3 linked regions of the Callithrix jacchus genome follow. The protein of the gene in region 3 interacts with the protein of the main gene of each other region in a biochemical or structural test. Links are inferred from orthologs where the notes say so. Each region holds a gene or a part of one and is shown on either strand. Other genes may lie near its edges. The genes, in order: WNK1, WNK4 and OXSR1.

Region 1 (7,568 bases), on a different chromosome or scaffold from region 3:
ATGTGTATAGGGAGATCAGGAATGCCTAGTTCCTATGGGAGAGAGATCCTTTAGTCAGCAAGTATGTGCCGGGCAGTGTTATTACCCCAACAGGAAACTCAGCAGTGATTAATCATACAAAAGTCCATGCCCTCCCTTTGTTCACATTGAAGTGGGAGATGTCTGCTAGATTGGTGAGGAGAGAAACACCACTTTGTAGTGTTTGTCTTTTTAGACTATGGCTTCTCATTAAAGTACAGATAGTTCGGCAACCCAGCAGGCCATTTACAATGTTCTAGGTAGGGTCAACAGGGAAATTCTGTACTTGGGATGCTGGGCTGTAAGTTACGGTTCATAATAGGTTATTGTTACTAGGATCTAGTGGTGCGGGAGTAGGGAAAATGTATTATAATGGCAGGAGGAAATTTAAAAATGAATCTTGAGGGTAAGTCTATACTATTTATTGGGGCTTTCCAGAAGAACTAAAAAAGGTTTAGAAGTTAGCATATTCTCTATAGCTTTTATAGTTAGCTCTCCTTTTCTTAGGAGTTAGTTTCTGGTCAGAAAAAGATAAGTTTGTTTCATTCTTTAATGGGAAGCCTGTATACAGAATCCAGAATGCGAAAGTTTAACTGTATGGTTGACTCTTCCTCGTGGTTTCTCTTTCCTCGTGGGAAGAGAATCCTGTATTAGGTAATGTAGGTTAAAATGAAAAGTGAAATTTGGTTCTAAAGGGGCCTCGCAGCATCAGGGCAAAAGACTAGCATCAGACTAGAGAGGTGTGTCTCCCAGCATGAGCTCTTTGTGTATAAGCAGTGGTCATGTCTCCTAAGCTGCTTGTATTTTTAGCTTTTGACAGCCCTGCTCCCCTCTGATTATTTCTGGTTTTTGTTTTGATTGACTCTCACATCAAGCTCACCAAGCAATAATCATTTAAACAGGATGACAGTCCCCATGCATGTGAAATGCTTGCTTTCAAGATTGAGACCCTCACTGTCATGACTGCTCATCCTCATTGCCTGTGCTTCCCACTTCACCACCCTCTCACATTTGCTGTTCATGGAAGGCTGTTTCCTGTGCTTTAATATTTTTCCACTTGGGTTTTCTATACTGTAGGGGAACTTACTCTTCCTTTTACACTGTATGTGCAATAGCCATCCCCTTGTGGCTCCAGCAGGCACCAAGAAGTGAGCTAACACTCACACTGCAATAGTTCATGTCTTGCCATGGTGGTAAGAAGCATGTGACCTTCCTCACTCTACAGCTTCACCTCAGAATTAGCTGGTACTCCAGCACAGACATGCTTGTGTGTGCCGTTCCCTTGGTGGTAGGATATAAGCTTGACTTGAGACCAGTGATGGTCAATAACAGGCTTTTAAGTGGCAGGGTTGCGTTAGGTGTGCTGCTGTGTCTGATGCTGCTTATTTACCCCCAGCTTTACTTGGATATCTTAAAGACTAGTGATTCACAACTTACCAGTGAGATCTGGTAAAACAGGTCGGGGGGAGGGTGAGGAAAACAGACAAGACCATGACTCTTCTTTCCCTCTTCCCCAAAACGTGCCTCTTCGAATAATCTTCAGTGTGCCCTCCAGCAGAGCCGAAATCAGGCAGGACATAGACTCCTTCTTCCTTTCTCATCAAACCATAGAAATAGAATTCCTCCATCGTAACCGCAGAGCTTCCGCCTCCCCTTTGCACCCTGCCTCAGCTGCATTTTCTTGTCGCTTCTACATGGGAGTGCTTGCTGTTCTGGGAAGGTGGGGAGAAACGGTGGGAATCCTTGAGTCAACTGAAACTGAGGTCATCTTCGGGAAAACCATGTCTTCCTGGAGTTGAAAGATTCAGGCACACCATACAGTCCTTTCCTCATGAGTAATCTTGTTCCTTTACTCATAGGAAATTGGGAGAGGTTAACCCCTCTCAAGTTTATGTTTGCACGTTCATGTTTATGGGTGAAAAAGTTTTCTGAACACAGCATGCTACTTCTCTTATTACCTCTCTCTATTTAAAGAATGGCTAGACTGAGCATGGTGGCTCACGCCTGTAATCCCAGCACTTTGTGAGGCTGAGATGGCAGGATTGCCTGAGCCCGGCAGTTCAGTTCGTTTCTGAGCAACATATGGAGATTATGTCTGTATAAAATATTTAAAAATTTAACTGGGTAACTGAGTATGGTGGTGCATACCTCTAGTCCCAAGCTACTTGGGAGGCTGAGGCAGAAGGAGTTTGAGGCTGAAAGTGAGCCATGATTGTGCCACTGTATCCAGCCTGGGTGACAGAGAAGAGGCTCTTCAAAAAAAAAAAAAAAAAAAAAAAAGCCACGCGTGGTAGCTCACGCCTGTAATCCCAGCACTTTGGGAGGCCAAAGCAGGCAGATCACCCGAGGTCAGGAGTTCAAGACCAGCCCAGCCAACATGGTGAAACCCCGCCTCTACTAAAATACAAAAATTAGCTGGGCTTGGTGGTGCACGCCTGTAATCCCAGCTATTCTGGAGGCTGAGGCAGGAGAATTTCTTGAACCCAGGAGGTGGAGGTTGCAGTTAGCTGAGATTGTGCCATTGCACTCCAGCCTGGGCAATAGAGTAAGTCTTAAAAAAAAAAAAAAAAAAAGGTGGTAGTGTCCACATGGCTTGGAAACCCCTTCTCCTTAGCCAAGCATCTATTCCTACTCCTACTTAAACTTTGCCCAAGGCACAAGAAATCCTCTTTTGTCCTACATTCTGCAAAATTTCAGAGCAACAAGCCTTGCTAATCGTATCACACTTCCATCAGCAACATGATGCTGGGAATGGCATACTGGCAAGCAGTTCCAGTACTCTTAGGTGCTTTGTGAAAGAAGCCCTTGCCTTGTGTTACCTACCATCATCCTGAGTTGTTCAGCCTTATCAGCAGCTACTGAAGAGAAACTGTTTTCATCACCCTATTATACCAAAACCAGTGGCTAAACAAAACCTTGGAACCCTTCTTGCATGGCTTCCCAGTTCATCCTCTCCCCATTCTGTGGCTTGCCATTCATCACCCCGTGAAGTTTTCCCTTTTCCTGAAATTGTAACCTAGGCTCCCTTTAATGCTTGTATTCTGTTGCCTGTCATAGGGACCAGCAGCACAAACACTGTTGGGGGAACAGTGAACAGCCAAGCTGCCCAAGCTCAGCCTCCTGCCATGACGTCCAGCAGGAAGGGCACGTTCACAGATGACCTGCACAAGTTGGTAGACAATTGGGCCCGAGATGCCATGAATCTGTCAGGCAGGAGAGGAAGCAAAGGGCACATGAATTATGAGGTAAGTCTCTCTTTTATCATAGAGAATCACATAACACACATCTGAATCCAGTTGATATAAACTACTAGATTGCTGCTTAATGTCTTATACCAGGACCTTCTTTAGTAGCTCATTAATTTTAACATTTTAGAAAAACAAGGCAAAAATCCCCCAGGTACCCTTTTATTTTTTCTTCCCTGAATCTCTAATCTTACTGGTCAGCTCAACTTTTTCTTCTTCCTTTTCTCGTCTTCATCCTGAACTACACACACAGACACACATATGCACATGACATCCCTCCCCTCTCATCAGGATTATTTTCACCCTTACTTGGTAAATATAAAGAGCCAATGAATACTATAGAAGACGCTTTTGCTGTATCTTACAGGATTAGACCAGAAGTATATGTTAGCACCACACATTTTACACCCTTATCTCTTAAACCCACACCAGACTTGACATGCGGTTGTTTTGTTTTCAGGGCCCTGGAATGGCAAGGAAGTTCTCTGCACCTGGGCAACTGTGCACCTCCATGACCTCGAACCTGGGTGGCTCTGCCCCCATCTCTGCAGCATCAGCTACCTCTCTAGGTCACTTCACCAAATCTATGTGCCCCCCACAGCAGTATGGCTTTCCAGCTACCCCATTTGGCGCTCAGTGGAGTGGGACAGGTGGCCCAGCACCACAGCCACTTGGCCAGTTCCAACCTGTGGGAACTGCCTCCTTGCAGAATTTCAACATCAGCAATTTGCAGAAATCCATCAGCAACCCCCCAGGTTCCAACCTGCGGACCACTTAGACCTAGAGACATTAACTGAATAGATCTGGGGGCAGGAGATGGAATGCTGGTGGGGAGGGGTGGGGGGTGGGAGTAGCCTATATACTAACTACTACTGCTGCATTTAACTGGTTATTTCTTGCCAGAAGGGAATGTTTTTAATTCCACGTTGAGTCCTCAGAATGGAGAGTCTCCCCTGCTCTACTAACTGGAGTAGGAGAGGAAGGAAAGAGCAGCTTTCTTGTAAAGGGGCAGCTTCAGACCATGCTTTCCTGTTTATTTGTACTCAGTAGTGAGGATGAGGGCTAGGAAAGTCTTGTTCATAAGGAAGCTAGAGAACTCAATGTAAAATCAAACCCCATCTGTAATTTTGAGTGGGTGGAGTTCTTGATTTTGGTACATGCCCCAAATCCTTTACTCCCTCAAGAATCTGAACCACAAGACAAAAACAACCTATTGGGCTCTCTCCTACCCTGCCCTTCTCCCTTTTTCCCCCCTTCTCTTTTTGATTTTTTCTTTGCTCTTTAGAACCCAGTGAAAAATACCAGGGGACTGGGGTGCAGCCCTTTCTTATGATAGGTCATTAGTGCTTTAAGCAAAAGATACTAGCAGCTTTGACTGCAGCATTAGCAATTAGGAAAAAAAAAATAAGTTCCCTGCGGACATGTAACTTTGCCATCAGTTTTGATGTGGAAACACTGTGATATATAAAATGTTGTTGGACAACAGTAGTTTTAAGAGTAAAATATGAAACGTTTAAAAAGTTCCAAAAAAAAAGCTAGCTCTGTCCTTTACTTATTGAGACACTTTAACTTTTTCCTTTGTATTTCCATTGTATTAGATAAATAAATGTGAATGTAAAATTGTATAAATTACTGTACTTGAATACTTCTGTTTCCCAGTGTTGCTTGCTGGACATTTTAGTGCCTTGGACTTACTTATATTGCTTCTGCCATTAGCATCAACTTATCAGACCCCAGATCAATAAAGGGCATGTGGAAGGAAATCTTAGGTCCATGTGACCCCAGCAGTGGATATGCCAAAGGGAAATAGAAAAAGTATTTTTTTAAGTCCTTCAACAACTTTGTCTAGAGCAGGTGTAAGATGAGTAGGTGGGAAGTTAAGTTGGCATTAGTGGTTAAAAACAAAGTTTTGTTTCAGGAAGAGTGAGGAGGGGGTGTTACAACAAAATTGGGCAACTTAAAAGACCAAGAATGGTATGTGCTGGGTGAAAGACAAAGACTAAAGAATGAGGAAACAAACTTGTTTGGAAGATACATGATACCTGGCCAATGACTGTCATATAAACCTTTATTTGAGCTAGGCTTGAACAGACGTGAACAGAACAGAAGAAATTGAACATAAAGCAAAGGGGGTGGGGGCTAGTTATCAAGTTGGGGAACCTGATAATGAAAAGTCACAGATGGAGAAAGTTGCTCTAAGAAAAACTGGATTGCTTTCCAATCTTGTTGCACATGTACCATGCAGTCCTCAGCTTGGGGTACTATATTTTGTGGAGAGAGAATCTTTCCACATCTGAATTAATAATCATCGTAGGAAAGGATACTTATTCCTACTCATTTCCTTTATGATGTCCAAATGGTTGCAGGATCATAATCTATTGTGCCACCTTTATTTCCAGAAATACAACTAATATGCTCACATTGTCAGATATTCCCCTTAAGTAATAACTGCAACCAATCAGTGTTATTTAGTGCTATGCCTACTTGTAATGGGTAGTTCTGTTGTTTTCAGAGCTTTCCGGAAATACTGTCCTAATTGGCTATGTTTGGGATCTTTGTTATCTCTGAAGACGGACAAAGAAGCTAAAACTCTTAATTTTGGGGTGCTTCTTGACGCGTAGTTGGGAAACTGACATTTCCAACCTTTTACCCACGTCAATGGCATATTCCGGGAATCACCACCACCACAGAAAGAAGCTGAGGCTCTCTGTACCCTGTTCATTCCTTATGGGCCCTGCTTCCCTTCGTAAGTTGGTCTCCGGCCCTAAGTATGCAAATGAGAGCTGAAGGTTTTAAAGAGGTAGAAAGGAAAAGGGCGGGGGTTTCAATCCCTGCTTTAAAAATATTTACTTATTTATTCTCTGCTTATATAGCTTGTGGAGAGTAAGGATAGAACCAACAAGGAGCCGAGTAACTGAGAAAGGGACCACCTAAGAGTGAAAATACTGTATACCGGAGGAGCAGGGGAGCCTAATGCAGCACGTTAGCATTTGTTATTTGAATTTAATAATTTTGAGATTTTTTTCACTCATACACAAAAAGAACTGGTTTTATTTACTGTTAATTCATCTTCCTGCGGATGAAATAACTGAAGCCTAGAGGAACGACCTAGTGCTACTGAACTGTTTAAATTATTTTTGTGTTAATAGTACACTTTGAATATCTTTTTCCACATTAAAAAAAACTTTCTGAATTATAAGTGTTTTCCTTACATTATTTAACAATGTACACTGTTTAAAAAAATAAAAATTCAAACTTCGGGGGTTTCTCAGCAGCCGTTAACTGTACATTTTGCACTAACTCTGGGTGTTGCGCTTCTTGTAAGATTGCGCTTTGTGCTTCCGTTTGTTACCTTTGTAGACTTATTTAATGAAACCATTCAAATAAACCAAACTTGCTTTTGTTGAGCTGTGGGGTTTCATTTACAGAAAATTCCTTCACATTTTCATTGGCACTATTTTAAGTGCAATTTATAACCTGATTCCTAATTTTTGGGGGCTCTTTTGCTACCTCTTCATCTTCCAAAGGAATAGAACAGTCGGCTGCTGGCTAGTATTTCAGACTTCCTTATCTCGGTTCACGGCTTCCCATAAATATGTCTGTGAGCCAAAAAAAAGAAGTCACTGCTTCAAGATAGGCACAGCCCAGTCCAAAATACGTCTTTAAAAAAACTAAATTGGCTGGGCGCAGTGGCTCATGCCTGTAATCCCAGCACTTTGGGAGGCCAAGGCAGGCAGATCACTTGAGGTCAGGAATTCTAGACCAGTCTGACCAACACTGAGAAACCCTGTCTACTAAAAAGACAAAAAAATAGCCGGATATGGTCACAGCGCCTGTAATCCTAGCTACTCAGGAGCCTGAGGCAGGAGAATCGCTTGAACCCCAGAGGTGAAGGTTGCAGTGAGCAGAGATCGCACCACTGCACTCCAGCCTGGGATGCAGAGAGACACCCTCTCAAAAATAAAATTGCAAATTCATTATTTATTTGGGGGAAAAAATTATAAAACATCTAAACACTATGAAAAGCCAATTTCTGGTCAAGGTGGTCACATCGCACGTATGAAATGCAGAAGTAGAAACAGCTGCAGCCTGAGCATCCCTAATTGAAACGCTCTGAGATCTGAAAATTTCTGAGCACTGACATGTTGCCAGAAGTGGAAAATTCCACACATGACCTTGTGTGACAAGCCATAGTCAAAGCACCAGGCACAAAACAGTTTATTCAGCCCCCTGCAGCTGCAGTAATATCGTATACACAAACTTTGTTGCATGCACAAAATTATGTGTATAAGGTATATATGAAAC
Region 2 (8,033 bases), on a different chromosome or scaffold from region 3:
CCCTTTAGCTGCTGTTGCCTCCCTTCTCAGGCAGGTGCTGGATCCTTCCTAGGGGATGGGGGAAGCCCTGGCTGCAGGCAGCCTTCCAGGCATTATGAAGATAGGAGACCCATGGGCCTGGCAGTGAGAGGTGTGGCCCAACACTGATTTCTGATATTAAAATCTCAGCTCCCACTGCCTGCCTCTTAATTACTACAGTATGGAATGGGTATGGGGAGGGCTGTGAAGTGTTACCATCCGAGTAAATCCCAGCCAAGGAGAGGAGAGAGAAGAAAGCCTATGGCTTTTGTAGAAGAAAAGGTCCTCCAGAGCCCTGCGGGCTCCAGTGAGCCTGTGGTTATACATCTGCTGGGTGGGCTGTGTGGAGGAGTGCTGATGGAACACAGCTTGGGGACAGACTGCTTTCTCTCTGAATTGGAGTTACTTAAGGGCTCCCGCGTTCCTCACCATCTCCCCCATGAAAGTCCTGAACTACTCTGAAGCCCCTCCCTCCACCCATCTGGTCTGGGTGGGGTCGCTGTGGCCAAGGGGAGCTGAGGGCGTAAGCCGGATGTGGACTTTGGTTTATTGGAGACTTTGGCAAACAGAAGGGGAGGAAGGAGAGCCCACATAGCAAAAACAGCCACTCTGGCCAGGGCCAGGCTGCGGCCAAGGTGGCCTGGAGGGGATGGATGACCAACCGGGCTCTCGATTTGGGGGAGGGACTTATCCTGGGGAGTACACACCCATCCCTATGTAGACCAGAGGTACAACAACGTCGGACCTTTCCACTGACCTCTGTATGGTCGGCCTGGGGCTACTCCGGACTGTTCGGAGGGGGTAGTGCCGCCTTATCTGGGGTGTGCAGGCCGGTGGTAGTCTCCCTCTAAATAACCCCTCACTAGAGCCCGGGAGCCGCAGGCACGTTTCCTCTCCCATCCGGGTGTCGTCTCCCCCCTCAACTCCCCCTGCCCCCCATCCCCGCGCACAAACAGGTTTTCGCACTCTTAGTGCGGGAGGACACGGCGGTCTCGCACTCAGTTCTGGCCTCGGAGCGAGACTGCGGCCGGGGGCCGGGGAGGCTCGGGAGATGAGGGGAAACTGCTGGGTGGGGCGGCGACTAAGGTGAGGGGCTGCTCATCCACACCGCCCGAGCCACTCGGAGGGGTGGCCTGGGGGGCAAGGGCGGGCCATGGGGCGGGGCGGGGCAGGGGCGGGGCCGGGCCGAGCCAGGGGCTGGGGCCCCAGCCGCTCAGCTGGAGCGCTGCGCACCCAGCGGGTCCGCCTGTCAGGCTGCCTCCTCTCCGACCGTCTGGCTTTCCGCCCTTCGGCGCTCTGCGCTTCCTCATGTTGGCACAGCCGGCCACGGAGACCGCCGTCCCCACGTCCCAGACTGAGGCCGACCTGGCCCTGCGGCCGCCGCAGCCTCTTGCCTCCGCGGGGCCGCCCCGCCCCGGGCCCCATCCTCGCCGAGCGCGCCGCTTCTCCGGGAAGGCAGAGCCCCGGCCGCGCACTTCTCGTCTCAGCCGCCGTAGCTCAGTCGACTTGGGGCTCCTGAGCTCTTGGTCCCTGCCAACCTCACCCTCTCCGGAACCCCCCGATCCTCCGGACCCCGCTGGTCCTGGCCCCGCGAGGAGCCCACCGCCTAGCTCCAAAGAACCCCCCGAGGGCACGTGGGCCGAGGAAGCCCCTGTGAAGGCTGCAGACTCCGCGCGTCCCGAGCTCCCAGACTCTGCAGTGGGCCCGGGGTCCAGGGAGCCGCTGAGGGTCCCTGAAGCTGTGGCCCTAGAACGGCGGCGGGAGGAGGAAGAAAAGGAGGACATGGAGACCCAGGCTGTAGCAACGTCCCCCGACGGCCGATACCTTAAGTTTGACATCGAGATTGGACGTGGCTCCTTCAAGACCGTGTATCGAGGGCTAGACACCGACACCACGGTGGAGGTGGCCTGGTGCGAGCTGCAGGTGCGGCTGGGCGCCCCCTCGGTGGCACCTTGGGATGGGACTCTGGAGGTCTTAGATGAGAGACAGCGGGTGGGGGAGACAGCATCAAGGGAAGGATGTATTTTTCCAATCAAATGTCCAGACACCTCTGCTGTCTTTGCCCTGAATGATCTGGCTGACTCTGGCTGCAGGAGAAACTGAGGCAGGTGGTGTCTGGTGACTCTCCCATGGGCATGAACATTCTCACTTTAAAGTCTCCATACTCAACCCTGAGAGGTGGAAAATAGGATAGGAAGTTGGGCTGGGGAGCCAATTCAGGTCAGTTTCCTGCTGGTGGGTATCCACAATCCCTTCCTCTCCCCTAAGTCCAGAGATCCTCAGTTATGACCCTGGTCCTCTTGATCCCCTCACTCCTCCCCATCCCCCACCTATTTGCAGACCAGGAGGCTGGGAGATGGGAAGCCAGGAGCTGGGCAAGGGTCCTTTCCAACTCCAGAAGATTTAGGGAAGTTGTAGCAGAGTGGGGTTCCCTAGACCCTTCTGGAGCAGTCAGACTTCTGGACTTCTCCACAGCTGCAAGGAGGGGGACATAGGGAGTCCCAGCTCTCGAATAAGTGCAGTTCCTCATCCCACTGCCTACCTGTGCTCTCCCTTCCCGGACCTAAAGGCACTAAACCCGTGGGCTTCAGGAGGACCTTCCTCCCGTCGCTCCCATGCTACATGTGAGTTAGGAGAACCCAGTCAACTTGGGGCCTGAAGCTTCAGATTCAGATAAGGGCACAAAGCCTAAGGGAAGGGTCCCTCTCTAGCCCTGGCACAGGGCTCACCCCTTGTGCCTGCCAGTGCCGCGCCCCAGGCTCTAGGCCAGGCCAGGAGAGGCAGCCAAACTGGGGGGTGAGGGGAGGGAGAGGAGTCGGGGCGGGACAACTATGGGGGGGGTGGCTTCCTGGCGCCTAGTCCTGGATCTTTTCTTTCTCTGTACCTCCCTCCACAGCCCTCCCGCCTTCAGTCTGGATCTAGCAGTTCCCGGTTTCTGGGGCCAACCCCCTTGCCGGCCCCAATTCCCTGCCAGCGGTCTCCTGCTGCCCGTCTGCTGCCTGCTCTCTGCCATCCCCTGGGCGCCCCCTCCCGCCCCATGGCCGGTCTGGGCAGCCACAAAGGCACTATTGAGCTCAGGACTCCTGGATGGGGCTGCATAAAGGCACTTGTGTCCAGCAGGGGGTCTAGGGGGCTGCCCCAGGCCCAGGTTGGTTGTGTCCTTGGAGCAGCTTACATGGGTACTGTTGGAGAGTTCTGGGTCTGCAGCCCATTGGGCGAGTGATCCCACTAATCCCACCCCATCTGTGGGAACCAACCCTCACATCTTCCCCAACCCCACTCCAGTTGTCCCCCTTCCTTTCCATGGGGATCCTGGGCCTGACATGACACCCATCCCCCGTCCCACAGACTCGGAAACTGTCTAGAGCCGAGCGGCAGCGCTTCTCAGAGGAGGTGGAGATGCTCAAGGGGCTGCAGCACCCCAACATCGTCCGCTTCTACGATTCGTGGAAGTCAGTGCTGAGGGGCCAGGTTTGCATCGTGCTGGTCACCGAACTCATGACCTCGGGCACGCTCAAGACGTGAGCTCTGCGCATGAGTGGGTGGGGAGAGGGAGGCTGGGATGTGTGCCCACTGCTTCCTGAACTCCCAGGCTCCTCAAACTGTCTATATCCAGATGTAAAACCAGGCTCACCATCTCCTCTTACCCACCCTGTGTCCCTCCCTTGGTGAGTGGCTATGTCCAGCCAGAGCTCCAGTCAGAAACGTGGGTGTCTCCCCAGACTCCTCTCTCTCCTCTCTGCCCCCTCATCAGTCTGTCTCCACGTCTCTCCTTAACCTCTCCCTACCTGACTTTCACTGCTCCATCCATGCCACCACCTCGATGCCACCTTGCTGATCTGGAGCCCTGCAGCAGCCCCCTAAAGGGTCTTCTCAAACTCTGCCACCCTCTAAGTGATCCTATCTTCCTGCAGCCTGGAGGATCTTTCCCAGTCAAAAATCTGAACTGTCACTCCCCTCCTTAAAACCCCTTCAGGTTTTCTCATGTCCTCGGGATAAAACCCACATGGGCTCATCTGCTCACACTGGACACGCTCAAGCGTGCCTCCTTTGCCAAGCTTAGGATACAGCCCCACTTTCAGCCTAAGTTCTAGACACACTGAATTCCTGGGACCTCCTCCCACTCTGCCCTGCCCTGGCTTTTTCCGTGCCTTTGAGCATGGTGTCCTGTCTGCCTGGAAAGTTTCCATCCCTTCCCCCTTTCACCTTTGAGCTTCTACTCATCATTCAAGATGCAATACAAAAGTATTTCCTCTCTGAAGCCCTCCCTCATGCTCGGGGCAGTTAGTCATCTCTTCCTGCGCTCCCACAGCACCTCGGCGGAGGCCCTATCTATCAATTTACCTCCCAACCTGTTTGGTAACATCAAGTCTATCCACCACATCCTCTGACTCAGTTTCTCCCCGGGGCCGGGCAGACATAGGCTAGGAGAATGATGGCAGAAGATGAGGAGGCAGCAGCAGAGTGCCGCAGGGGGGAGCTTCCCGGTGGAGGGCCCCTCCCCCGAGGACGTGTTCCCCACCGACCCTGGCTATGCTCCCTCCCCCAGGTACCTGAGGCGGTTTCGGGAGATGAAGCCAAGAGTCCTTCAGCGTTGGAGCCGCCAAATCCTTCGGGGGCTTCATTTCCTACACTCCCGGGTTCCTCCCATCCTGCACCGGGACCTCAAGTGCGACAATGTCTTTATCACGGGCCCTACTGGCTCTGTCAAAATCGGGGACCTGGGCCTGGCCACGCTTAAGCGCGCCTCCTTTGCCAAGAGTGTCATCGGTGGGTCTCTCCAGGAAGGTCCTTCCTCCCCCACCTCAGAAGAGAACCTGGGGACTCCCTCCCCTCAGCAAGGCCCTTCAAGGTCCACAAAATTACCAGACCACAGGGAAGCTGGGGAGATCTATGGCATTCCCCCTCAACCCCACTGTGGGCTGGGGTCACTTGCACCCCAGGGTTGCCCAGGGCTGCCCAGCCCAAGGGGCAGGACGAGGCCAGAGTACCCAGCAACCTGATCCCTGCTGTGAACCCTACAGGGACCCCGGAATTCATGGCCCCCGAGATGTATGAGGAAAAGTATGATGAGGCTGTGGATGTGTATGCATTTGGCATGTGCATGCTGGAGATGGCCACCTCTGAGTACCCGTACTCCGAGTGCCAGAATGCCGCACAAATCTACCGCAAGGTCACTTCGGTGAGAGGGATGGGGTTGGCAGGAATGGGAATTCCAGGTCCACTTCCCATTTTCCTGCCCGGCCAGCCCACAGTCAATGCCCTTTGCCTGCACAAAAACAGGCTAGACACAGAGATGCCTTGGTGAACCCAGAAGGATATCCATGCTATTTAGAATAATAATGTGTGTGGTGCTCCCAAGAGTTCACAATTTCACATCCAGTCTCACATCCAATCCTCCCAGCTGCCTGTCGAGGTGAGCAGGGCAAATGTTCCTCCCTGCAATTTACAGATGAAGAAACAGTGGGAGACTTGTTCAAGGTCACACTGTAAATACTTGGGTTGGTTGGGGGGACTGGGATTTGAAATCAAATCTTGCAGTAGCAGTCAAGCTTTTGCAACTGCACGTGCAGCTGCCTAAGGCAGGAGTGGAGTAAAGGGTGGAGGGGGGGTGTGAAGCCAAGAGCTGGGGGTCAGAGGATGGGAGGTGTCATGCAACCCCTCCCCACAGGGCACAAAGCCGAACAGCTTCTACAAGGTGAAGATACCCGAGGTGAAGGAGATCATTGAAGGCTGCATACGCACGGATAAGAACGAGAGGTGGGAGTGAAAGGGCAGAGAGTGGGTAGAGTAGGGGCCCAGGCCACGGCGGGCTCGGCTCACCCACGCCTCACCCTCAGGTTCACCATCCAGGACCTCCTGGCCCACGCCTTCTTCAGAGAGGAGCGCGGTGTGCACGTGGAACTAGCGGAGGAGGACGACGGCGAGAAGCCGGGCCTCAAGCTCTGGCTGCGCATGGAGGACTCGCGGCGCGGGGGGCGCCCACGGGACAACCAGGCCATCGAGTTCCTGTTCCAGCTGGGCCGGGACGCGGCCGAGGAGGTGGCACAGGAGATGGTGAGCGGAGGACAGACTGTACTGCCACTGGGCGTGTAAAGGACGTTGACCGGAGGGGATAGTGCAACAGGGATGGGCGCAGGAGAGGTGGCAGCGATGGGGGCAGGCCACCTCCCGGCTCTCAAGACATCCTGCAGCGTCTCCCTGCCTCTCCAGCCCTACCTCAGGCGCATGCACACCCAGTTTTCCTTTACAAAAGGGAGCCTTGGGTCCTCCAGGGTCCCTGTTTTACCTCCAGCTTAGCCTTTCTTCCTGGAATGCCTTTTTTGCCAATTTATCTTTTCCCTCTTTCCTCCCTCCCTCTTGTTCTTTTTCTTCCAACATGATCAGATCCATCCATTTTGGAAAGCCATCCCCTCTGGAGTCCAACTTAAATGCTCCTTTCCACTTCAGCAGGTTCTTGGTTACAGCACTCATCACCATGGGTCCTGTCTTAAACCTGAATAAGTTCCTATCTTTCTTCTCCACTGAACTATAAACTCCCTGAGGACAGAGACTGTGTTTTATTGATTCTTCTGTCCCTGGCAATGCTTGGCACATAGAGCTTATTCATAGCCCATATCTGTACATGGCTTAAAGCACTGTTGCCAGGCACAGTGGCTCACACCTGTAATCCCTGCTCTTTGGGAGGCTGAGGTGGGTGAATCACATGAGGTCACGAGTTGGAGACCAGCCTGGCCAACATGATAAAACCCTGTCTCTACTAAAAATACAAAAAATTAGTTGGGCATGGTGGCACGCACCTGGAATCCTAGCTACTCAGAGGCTGAGGCAGGAGAATTGCTTGCACCTAGGAAGCAGAGGCTGCAGTGAGCCAAGATCACGCCACTGCACTCCAGCCTGGTCAACAAGAGCAAAACTCCATCTAGAAAAAAAACAACAGCCATTTTCACATGCATTTGAGCTTTGCTACCCATCCTGCATACGGAGCAGTTTTATGTCAACTTATTGATGAAGAAATGGAAATTCAGAGAGGTTGAATACCTTGTCCAGAGCCTCAAGTAAGTAAGTGGAACAGCTGGATTGAAACTGAGGTGGTTCAGATTTTAAATCAGGTTACCCTGCTCCACCTCCTTTACTCACTCACCAAAGCTTGTGGCTAAAAGGAATGAGGCAGTGATGAATGGAAGCTGGTAGAAGAGAAGAGGCATAAGATGCAAGGGCAGAAGCCTGGGGCTGGCTTAGGAAGTCCTGAAGGGAGTATGGGATTTTGGGGGGAGTGATGGAGTCCCGCTGTCACTCAGGCTGGAGTGCAATGGCACTATCTCAACTCATGGCAACCTCTACCTCCTGGGTTCAAGCGATTCTCCTGCCTCAACCTCCCGAGTAGCTGGGATTACAGGCACAAGCCACAATGCCAAGCTAATTTTTGTATTTTTAGTAGAGACAGGGTTTCACCATGTTGGCCAGGCTGGTCTCGAGAACTCCTGACCTCAGGTAATCTACCTGCCTCAGCCTCCCAAAGTGCTGGGATTACAGGTGTGAACCACTGTGCCCTGCCCCAGGTATGGGATTTCTAATACAGAGATGACACTTGCAAGGGTGGAGACAACCTATGGTGGGTCAAGAACCTGAGAATGTGTTAGAAATTTAGAGTAAGTCTCCATAGCACTGCCCAACCTGACCTGAGATCAAATCTGATCCACTGATGACAAGGGATTCTTGGCCTTGGCACTGTTGACATCTTTGTTTTAGGGACTGTCCTGTGCATTGTAGGGTGTTGAAAAGAAAGCCTGGCTTCTACTCACTAGATTCAGTAACACTTACCCTCCAGTTGTGACAACTAAAAATGTCTCGATATTGCCAAATGTCTCTTCTCCCCATTGGAAGCCACTGACTTACTATATGACTATGAACCGGCCACTTCATTAATCTCTAAAATAGGATAGTAAGATTTATCCCACAAGGTTGTTGGATCTAGTGATGATAATGTAAGGAGCTGCCGGTTAGCAGACATA
Region 3 (7,568 bases):
CCCAGGCTGTATTGCAGTGGTACAGTCTCAGCTCACCGCCAAACTTAGCTTCTGGGGTTCTTCTGCCCCAGCCTCCCGAGTAGCTGGGATTACAGGCATGCACCACCACATCTGGCTAATTTTGTATTTTTAGTAGAGAAGGAGTTTCTCCCTGTTGGTCAGGCTGGTCTCGAACTCCTGACCTCAGGTGATCCATCTGTGTCAGCCTCCCAAAGTGCTGGGATTATAGGCGTGAGCCACCATGCCCGGCCTGATCATTACTGTTGATCCTGTCACATAGTAGGTACCAAAGTCCAGCTTGTACTTTAACTGAAACTGTATTAACAAAGGAGCTATGTGATTTTTTTTCACATTGAAGTTACTGTTTCTCTTTATTTGGCAATTTAAAACAAAAGGCAGATGGCATTTTTGCTCTTTGGTTTCTGTTCTTAACTTTATAGTTTGATTGATTATGTTTCCTTGGCATTGTAGCTGTGCAGGTTGTTTAACAAGAATATTTTGGTAAAGTGGATAGTCTCACTTACATTCCTTAGCTAAATGTTTTAACTAGTCTTCAGGGTTCACTTGGAAACAAGCAGAGGTATACTAGCTGAAGATCCAAAAATTCTGGATCATTATTAAGTTCTGCATTTAAAATTCTGCATATTTTAAAGCTACTTGAAGGTTTTCAGTAGGTTTTTAAAAAGTAAAAACTCTTTATAATTGAACCTAAAAAATATGTTGTGTATAAATTGTTTGAGTCTTTATCGTATTTAAGTATTTTAAGGCACGGCTTTCTTTCTAGTTAGTGATAAAAATACCTAGTACTTATTGAGTGTTTAGTATTAAAATATATTACAGGGACTATTTCAAGTATATTATTAATTCATTTAATCCTCAACAACAACCTTGTTGAGTAGCTACTGTTATTGCCTCCTTTTTATAGATGAAGAAATTGTAGCACAAAGATTGAAAATACCTGCCCAAGTTCAGCTGACTAGTGGCAGAGCTGAATGTACTGAACGTACTTTTTCCCCTTTCCAGTGCACTTAAAAATGTTTCCTTTATTATTGTTGTTACAATTGGAACAGCATTTTAAAGTTCTTAGAAATTTGCCAGTTTGAGAGCTTTGAAAACTGTTATTATTATTATTTTAGAGAAAGGGTCTTGCTCTGTCATCTAGGCCAGAGTGCAGTGGGGTGAACGTAGCTCGCTGCAGCCTCCAACTCTTAGGCTCAAGCAGTCCTCCTACCTCAGCTTCCCAAGTAGCTAGGACTGCAGGTGCCCTCCACCATGCGCAGCTAATTTTCTATTTTTTATAGACATGGGGTCTCACATCACTGTGTTTGTTGCCCAGGCTGGTCTCAAACTTTTGGCCTCAACTGCTCTTCATGCCTCAGCTTCCCAAAGTACTGGGATTACAGGAATGAGCCACTGTGCCTAGCCAAAATTATTGTTTTTTTAAATTTTTCATAATTCTAAGTACATTCAGACAAGATTATTGTTTTTTAAACCTGTATTGACTTGTTATTTTTCAGTTGTACCGTATAGACAAGCAATTATTTCAAATAAATTGCTTGAAAGTGGCAGAATTCATAGACTTCTGAATCTGGAATTTTAAAGTTTACCATGCTAAAATTATCCTTCAAACAATCAGTTTGTCCATAATTTATTGTATTTTCAAATTGAAAAAAAAGTATGAAATAGAAATTCTGAAAACAGATAAATTTGAAAATACAATAAATTATGGACAAATATGGGCTCATTTTACTTAATGCAGAGTGTTCTGGAACAGACACAAAAGTGGAATCAGAAAAGGTGTACAAAAGTTGGATATGGTATATAAGAGCCTCACTATATTAGTTAAAGTTCTTTTGGTTGTATTGGAAATTATCACCGGCTGACTTAACAAAGCAGGAATTATTGAAATAAACTAGGAAGTACACAGAATAAAAAAATCAACTGAACAGCTAAGCCTCAGAATGGGCAGGAACCCAGTTGTGCTGGTGACCTTCAGGATGCTGTTAGCATGGCTCAGCTTCATTGACCCTTAGTTTCCTTGTCTGTCCATTCAAGCTTCACATTTCTAGAAGATTTAAGATAGGCCTGCCTTGGATTAAGGTGTCTAACCCTGGCTCAAATCAAGTATGCCCAGGGGTCAAGGTGAGGGAGTACAGATATACACCCAGGGCTAATTACAGAAAAAGAGGGATCCTGAAGAGACAAGCTGTCCTCCGTATTAGTGACTGGTACTTTGGCTTCAGTATTGTGGGATAAAATCTTCGTAGAGAAAATCCTGAGGCTTAGAGAAGTGAACTAAGTTTACCATTGTCATATATCCACTAAGAGGTGAAGGAAGTTAGGATATGTATTAAGAATTATGAACTTTAATTTATTTGGGGCCAAGTTCTTGAGAGCTCTTTGAATACTAAGTTAAAAAGGTTGAATTTCATTCTGTAGGATTTTCTGAGCTGAAAGGGTCATGTCAAAGTGATAATTTAAAAATGAATGAATGAATGAATCTAATAGTGGTATGTAGAATGGATTAGAGCAAGAAGGAAAATCTGAGAACATGAAAACGTGGCGTTGGAGAGGAATGGAGTGAGGCACCTGCTAAACTATGTCTTTTTTGTTGTTTTTGTTTTGTTTTGCAAAGATGAACTCCTGGGCTCAAGCGAGCCTCCTGCCTTGGCCTCCCAAGAGTGTTGGGATAATAGGCGTGAGCCACTTCTCCCAGTCTAAGCTATGTCTTAATTTAGCCAAGAAGTTCAGCAAAAAGATGAGAAACTATCATGCTTCTAATCTTAGATATAGGATGGTGACTACATTTTATTGTTTGCCTATTCATTTATGAGAGTTGATGCACTTTCATACAACCTTGCTGTTGTATTCTGTTTCAGACTTTGGGGTTAGTGCTTTTTTAGCAACTGGTGGTGATATTACCCGAAATAAAGTGAGAAAGACCTTTGTTGGCACCCCTTGTTGGATGGCACCTGAAGTTATGGAACAGGTACTGTGTCTTTTTGTCTGTTTTAAATGGGTTAGGGCTTTGTTATGAAACTGAGAAAACTTAAGTGTTTGCTTTTCTTTGGCATACCAGGTTAGCTTTGGGAAACATGTCCCGGTTTCTTGGTTAGGACTTTAGTCCACCCTTGAAAACAAAATAACAAAAACACTCTAGGACTTTGCAAAGGATATATGAAACTCAGGAATAATATAATCAAGGTTTGTGTTAATTTTATTAGTATAAATTAGTACAATAATTTGTACAAATTAGTACAATAATTTGTACAAATTAGTACAAATTAGACTAATTTTTACATCAAGATTTATTGCTGTGTTTCTCGAAGGACTGGTTGTCTCTATGTTCCCATTTCCCATTTCCCCTTCAAACAGTTGCAGTCTGGTGTCACTCATCCCATTATTTTAAGGAAACTCTGCTACTTCTCAAATCCAGAGCTCATTTCTTACTCCTTATTTAACTTGTCTGATTGGTGATATTTGAAACTGTTGACCATGCCAACTTTATTCACGTTCCTAGCCTCCTTAATGTTGTTTCTTCATTCTTGTCTTGTTTGTCAAGCCATTCCTCTGACTTTGCTGGCTCTCATTCTCCTGAATGACACTGCTTCCCACGACCTTATTCTTGAGCTTTTCTCTTCTCTGACTGCAAATACTCACTAGGTATTCCCATTTGTGCTTCTTATTAATGATTTCTAAATTATGTCCAGTTTTTTTTCCCCAAAACCTCCATATAGGTATTGCTAGTTCTTAATAAATGCTTCACATAAATGCCTTATAGATACATCAAACTCAGTATGCTTTGAACTAAATTCATTTTGACTCTGTTTTAATCACCTGCATTCACCCTGTTGGTGAGGGAAGGATTCCCACTGTAAAGTTATGGGAATGGCTGAACGTACAGCACCTGACACTGGACAGACGAGATTGATAGCTGTCTCATAGTCACATATACTCACAGCCTGGGGAGGAGGACACTTGCATGCCATGCTGGACCAGTGGGGTTGCACTCAGTAGCAGAATGAATGAGAAGGGGCTTTGGAGACGGGGTTTGTAGTACCAGCAGAGTGTGATGACCCTTGGTTTCCTTGAGAAGATATGATTGACTGACAGGGAGCTGAAACTTGCTTCTCAGGGCCAAGCAGGAACTGTACCTGGTCATTTGCTAAGGAGGATTGTCGGGCTAGGAGACATTATCTGCAAGAGCAGAGTGGGGAGGGGGCCTTAGGTCACTAAAGGCCCTTCAGTTTTACCAGAGGACAAGGCAGCACATACTATTGATCCTTACTTTTAGGTCTTTTTTGTGGAGGTGGAGTCTCACCATGTTGCCCAGGCTGGTCTTGAACTCCTGGTTTTAAGCCCACACTACACACTCCCCAAACCTATTTCTCCTATATTGCTTAGGATAGAAAATTAAAATTTATAGCCATATAATTTGCTGGTGACAGTAGAGAAATTTGGCAACATATTCACTCTAAAAAGTTTAAAAGTATTCACAATCTTTGTAACCTTTTCATTGTGGAAATTAAGGTGCCATAATGTAGATCCTTTGGAAAACAAAAAAGCCACCCCACTACAAAACATTTTGTTTTAGTTTTTTCCAGTATTTTACTGTTTGTAAAAGTTTCAGGACTCATGAGCAATTTTTTTTCTTCATGTTTTATCACAAATGTTTCTTACATGTTCATATAGTATTAGTAAATACTGCTTTTAGCTGACTGATTTTTTTAATATACCATACTTAACAGTTTCTTCACTGTTGGGGAACATACACGTTGTGTCTTTATTTTTTACTGGTTTAATGCTTATGAACACTTTCATTGTTCTTGGTACACATTAGAAACTAGCCTTTTTGTTTATTTTTAGAGACAGTCTTGCTCTCTCGCTCACTCTGGAGTACAGTGGTGCCATCATGGCTCATTGCAGCCTTCAACTTCTCAGCTTGAGCTAGCCTCCCAAGTAGCTGGACTGCAGGTGGACATCATCACTCCTAGCTAATTAAAAAACATTTTTATGGAGATGGGTCTCACCATGTTGCCCAAGCTGGTCTTGAACTCCTGGCTTCAAGCCCACCTAATCCTCCCACCTCAGCCTCTCACAGTGCTAGGATTGCAGGCATGAGCCACTGCGCCTGGCCTCACAACCTAACCTTTAAAAGTCCTTTTATGCTGTTAAAAAATAATCATGCAAATCTGTTCTTGCAGGTCCGAGGTTATGATTTCAAAGCTGATATTTGGAGTTTTGGAATTACAGCAATTGAATTGGCCACAGGGGCAGCTCCTTATCATAAATATCCACCAATGAAGGTGAGGTTCATATTCTAAATACTACCCCAGCTCAAGTCCCAATTCCTTTTCACAACCATTTGCCAGTCTTTTATTTTTTTTTATTGTGGCAAAATACACATATCATAAAATTGACCATCATCTTTGACCATTTTGAGTGTATAGTGCAGTGGTATTAAATGCATTCATAATGCTGTGCAGTTATCACTACCATCTGTATCCAAACTTTTCATTTGAAAACTGGAACTCTGTACCCATTAAATAGTAACTCTTGATTGCCGCTCTTTCTCAGCCCCTTGTTTGTCTCTATGATTTGACTGCTCTCAATACCTCATATAAGTGGAATCACACAGTGTTTGTCTTTACATGACTAGTATTTCACTTAGCATAATGTCCCCAGAGTTCATCCATGTTGTAGTATATTGCAGAATTTTCTTGCTTTTTAGTGCTGAATAATATTCCATTGTGTGCATGTATTGAGAAGCTAACCATCTACAGCATGTTATTTATGTGAAATACACATAAAAATTCTGAGTTTTAAACAATTGATTTAGATAGAAAATAAAATGTTATATGTTGGTATGGGGTGCCTATATTGAAAAATCTTGACCACAATAGGTAAACTTTACTGAGCCATCACAAGTTTATAGTATACTGAAAATTCTTACAGGTTTTAATGCTGACACTGCAGAATGATCCCCCTTCTTTGGAAACTGGTGTTCAAGATAAAGAAATGCTGAAAAAATACGGAAAATCATTTAGAAAAATGATTTCATTGTGCCTTCAAAAAGATCCAGAAAAAAGGTAAAATATGAGAAAAAGTTTACTTTTCTCTCTAATAAGTAAAACATTGTGAAGAAGTCTAAGAATCACACACATGTATGTAGAGGAAATTATTTGTACATATTCAAATGAACTAAATATAAACCCTAAGAAAGTATGTAGAGATTGGAAATGATTTCTGCCCTCTTTGTAGCATACAGTGTACCCTAAATAGTTCAGCCTTTTCCTGATTAATTCCTTATAAAGTTGTACATTGTGAATTCTGTATTAATAAATGCCAAGTTAGTTGAGAAGTTTGTTTTCAATTTGCATTTAAAATTTATAAATGGATGCCTTAATGCCATTTACAGTATGAATAAAGGAAAGGCACATAGAAAATTTATATTTAGTGTCAAATAATCATATTTATTTCCATGTTAGAAAAGGATTTTAGTAAGTGGACCAGAAATTCAGATAGTTTCCTTATCAATATGAGACAGATTGAATGGTAAGTAAGCAAATACATAAGAACATCTAATGTGTGTAGCTTCATGAATGAAACATAATCGTAGCGTGTTGGGCACAACCTTTTATTTTTAAGGTCACCTGGTACTTAGTTATAGGGGTAGGACTTTAATCTCAAAGTCCTGATTTCTAATTTAGGGCTCTTTTTCCTCTGAATCTTATTTGTCTGTTTTACATATGTATTCTACTCAGCTTCTAAGCACTGAGTTCTTTAATATCTGTTTCTCTAAAGATCATTAAGAGGGAAAGACTGATGTTGTTGATCACATCTGTAGCATATGTAATAAGGCTTCAGAATTTATTGTTGGAAATGTTGGAAAGGGCCAGAAAAACAGGTAGCAAAATTTATAGCTGTGTTTTTATAATTTTTTTTTCTGTTTGGGAGTAAACGGTTAAAAAAAGACAGGGAACACTTTCTTTTACAAAATTAGTTGATTAAAGAAACAAAATTCTCTTGTTACAAGTAACTAGAAATGCCAGATAAAAATCTATGCAACTTAAAGATTCTCAGATGCCAAAAATAATGAGGAAAGCCTTAAATTAAAGAAGAAATAATTGTGAACAAATCCTGTGGCTGTCTTCAGTGGGTCACTATTCATTCTGATAACTTACTCACTTGGATTTGTAACTCCCATGTGAAGACTGGAGTTGAGATCTTAGGCCCATCCTGTAGGGAGTTTGAACTGAGATTCTTCTTAAAAGTAAGAACTTCAGATGTCTGTATCCTTAGTAAAAGGATAGACAAGAATGAAAACTGTCAGTCATCAGTAACAGACAACAAAATCTCTCCTGAATAATCAAGCCCTTCAACTTGGACATTCTACAGGTTTAGAGTCTATATACTACCTATACTGTCTAGGACCCACAGGATTAGAAAGTTAAAAAAACAAGTCACTTTTATTTTTGACAGAAGTAGTCACAGAGCTGCACTGGAAAAACACTTAAACTCTAGCTCCCATTGGATTCCTGAACATAGTGCCCCACTGAAGATAAGGT

Evidence for each region.
Region 1: of the proteins of OXSR1 (region 3) and WNK1, one has a biochemical effect on the other in vitro, tested with the Homo sapiens proteins (2 studies listed by BioGRID and IntAct, with this or other methods). The link is inferred for Callithrix jacchus from reciprocal best matches to the Homo sapiens genes OXSR1 and WNK1.
Region 2: the proteins of OXSR1 (region 3) and WNK4 are reported together in a solved structure, tested with the Homo sapiens proteins (2 studies listed by BioGRID and IntAct, with this or other methods). The link is inferred for Callithrix jacchus from reciprocal best matches to the Homo sapiens genes OXSR1 and WNK4.

Annotation. Positions count from the first base shown.
Region 1 is NC_133510.1:14,065,615-14,073,182, forward strand, and holds the end of WNK1 (serine/threonine-protein kinase WNK1), read left to right. Parts: intron 1-1,561; coding exon 1,562-1,588; intron 1,589-3,075; coding exon 3,076-3,263; intron 3,264-3,723; coding exon 3,724-4,041; 3' UTR 4,042-6,670; downstream 6,671-7,568. UniProt on the Homo sapiens protein: Serine/threonine-protein kinase component of the WNK1-SPAK/OSR1 kinase cascade, which acts as a key regulator of blood pressure and regulatory volume increase by promoting ion influx.
Region 2 is NC_133506.1:121,107,431-121,115,463, reverse strand, and holds the start of WNK4 (serine/threonine-protein kinase WNK4), read left to right. Parts: upstream 1-1,237; 5' UTR 1,238-1,326; coding exon 1,327-1,941; intron 1,942-2,914; coding exon 2,915-3,166; intron 3,167-3,366; coding exon 3,367-3,539; intron 3,540-4,567; coding exon 4,568-4,788; intron 4,789-5,042; coding exon 5,043-5,200; intron 5,201-5,689; coding exon 5,690-5,778; intron 5,779-5,858; coding exon 5,859-6,075; intron 6,076-8,033. UniProt on the Homo sapiens protein: Serine/threonine-protein kinase component of the WNK4-SPAK/OSR1 kinase cascade, which acts as a key regulator of ion transport in the distal nephron and blood pressure.
Region 3 is NC_133518.1:76,077,820-76,085,387, forward strand, and holds part of OXSR1 (serine/threonine-protein kinase OSR1), read left to right. Parts: intron 1-2,879; coding exon 2,880-2,989; intron 2,990-5,204; coding exon 5,205-5,306; intron 5,307-5,955; coding exon 5,956-6,089; intron 6,090-7,568. UniProt on the Homo sapiens protein: Effector serine/threonine-protein kinase component of the WNK-SPAK/OSR1 kinase cascade, which is involved in various processes, such as ion transport, response to hypertonic stress and blood pressure.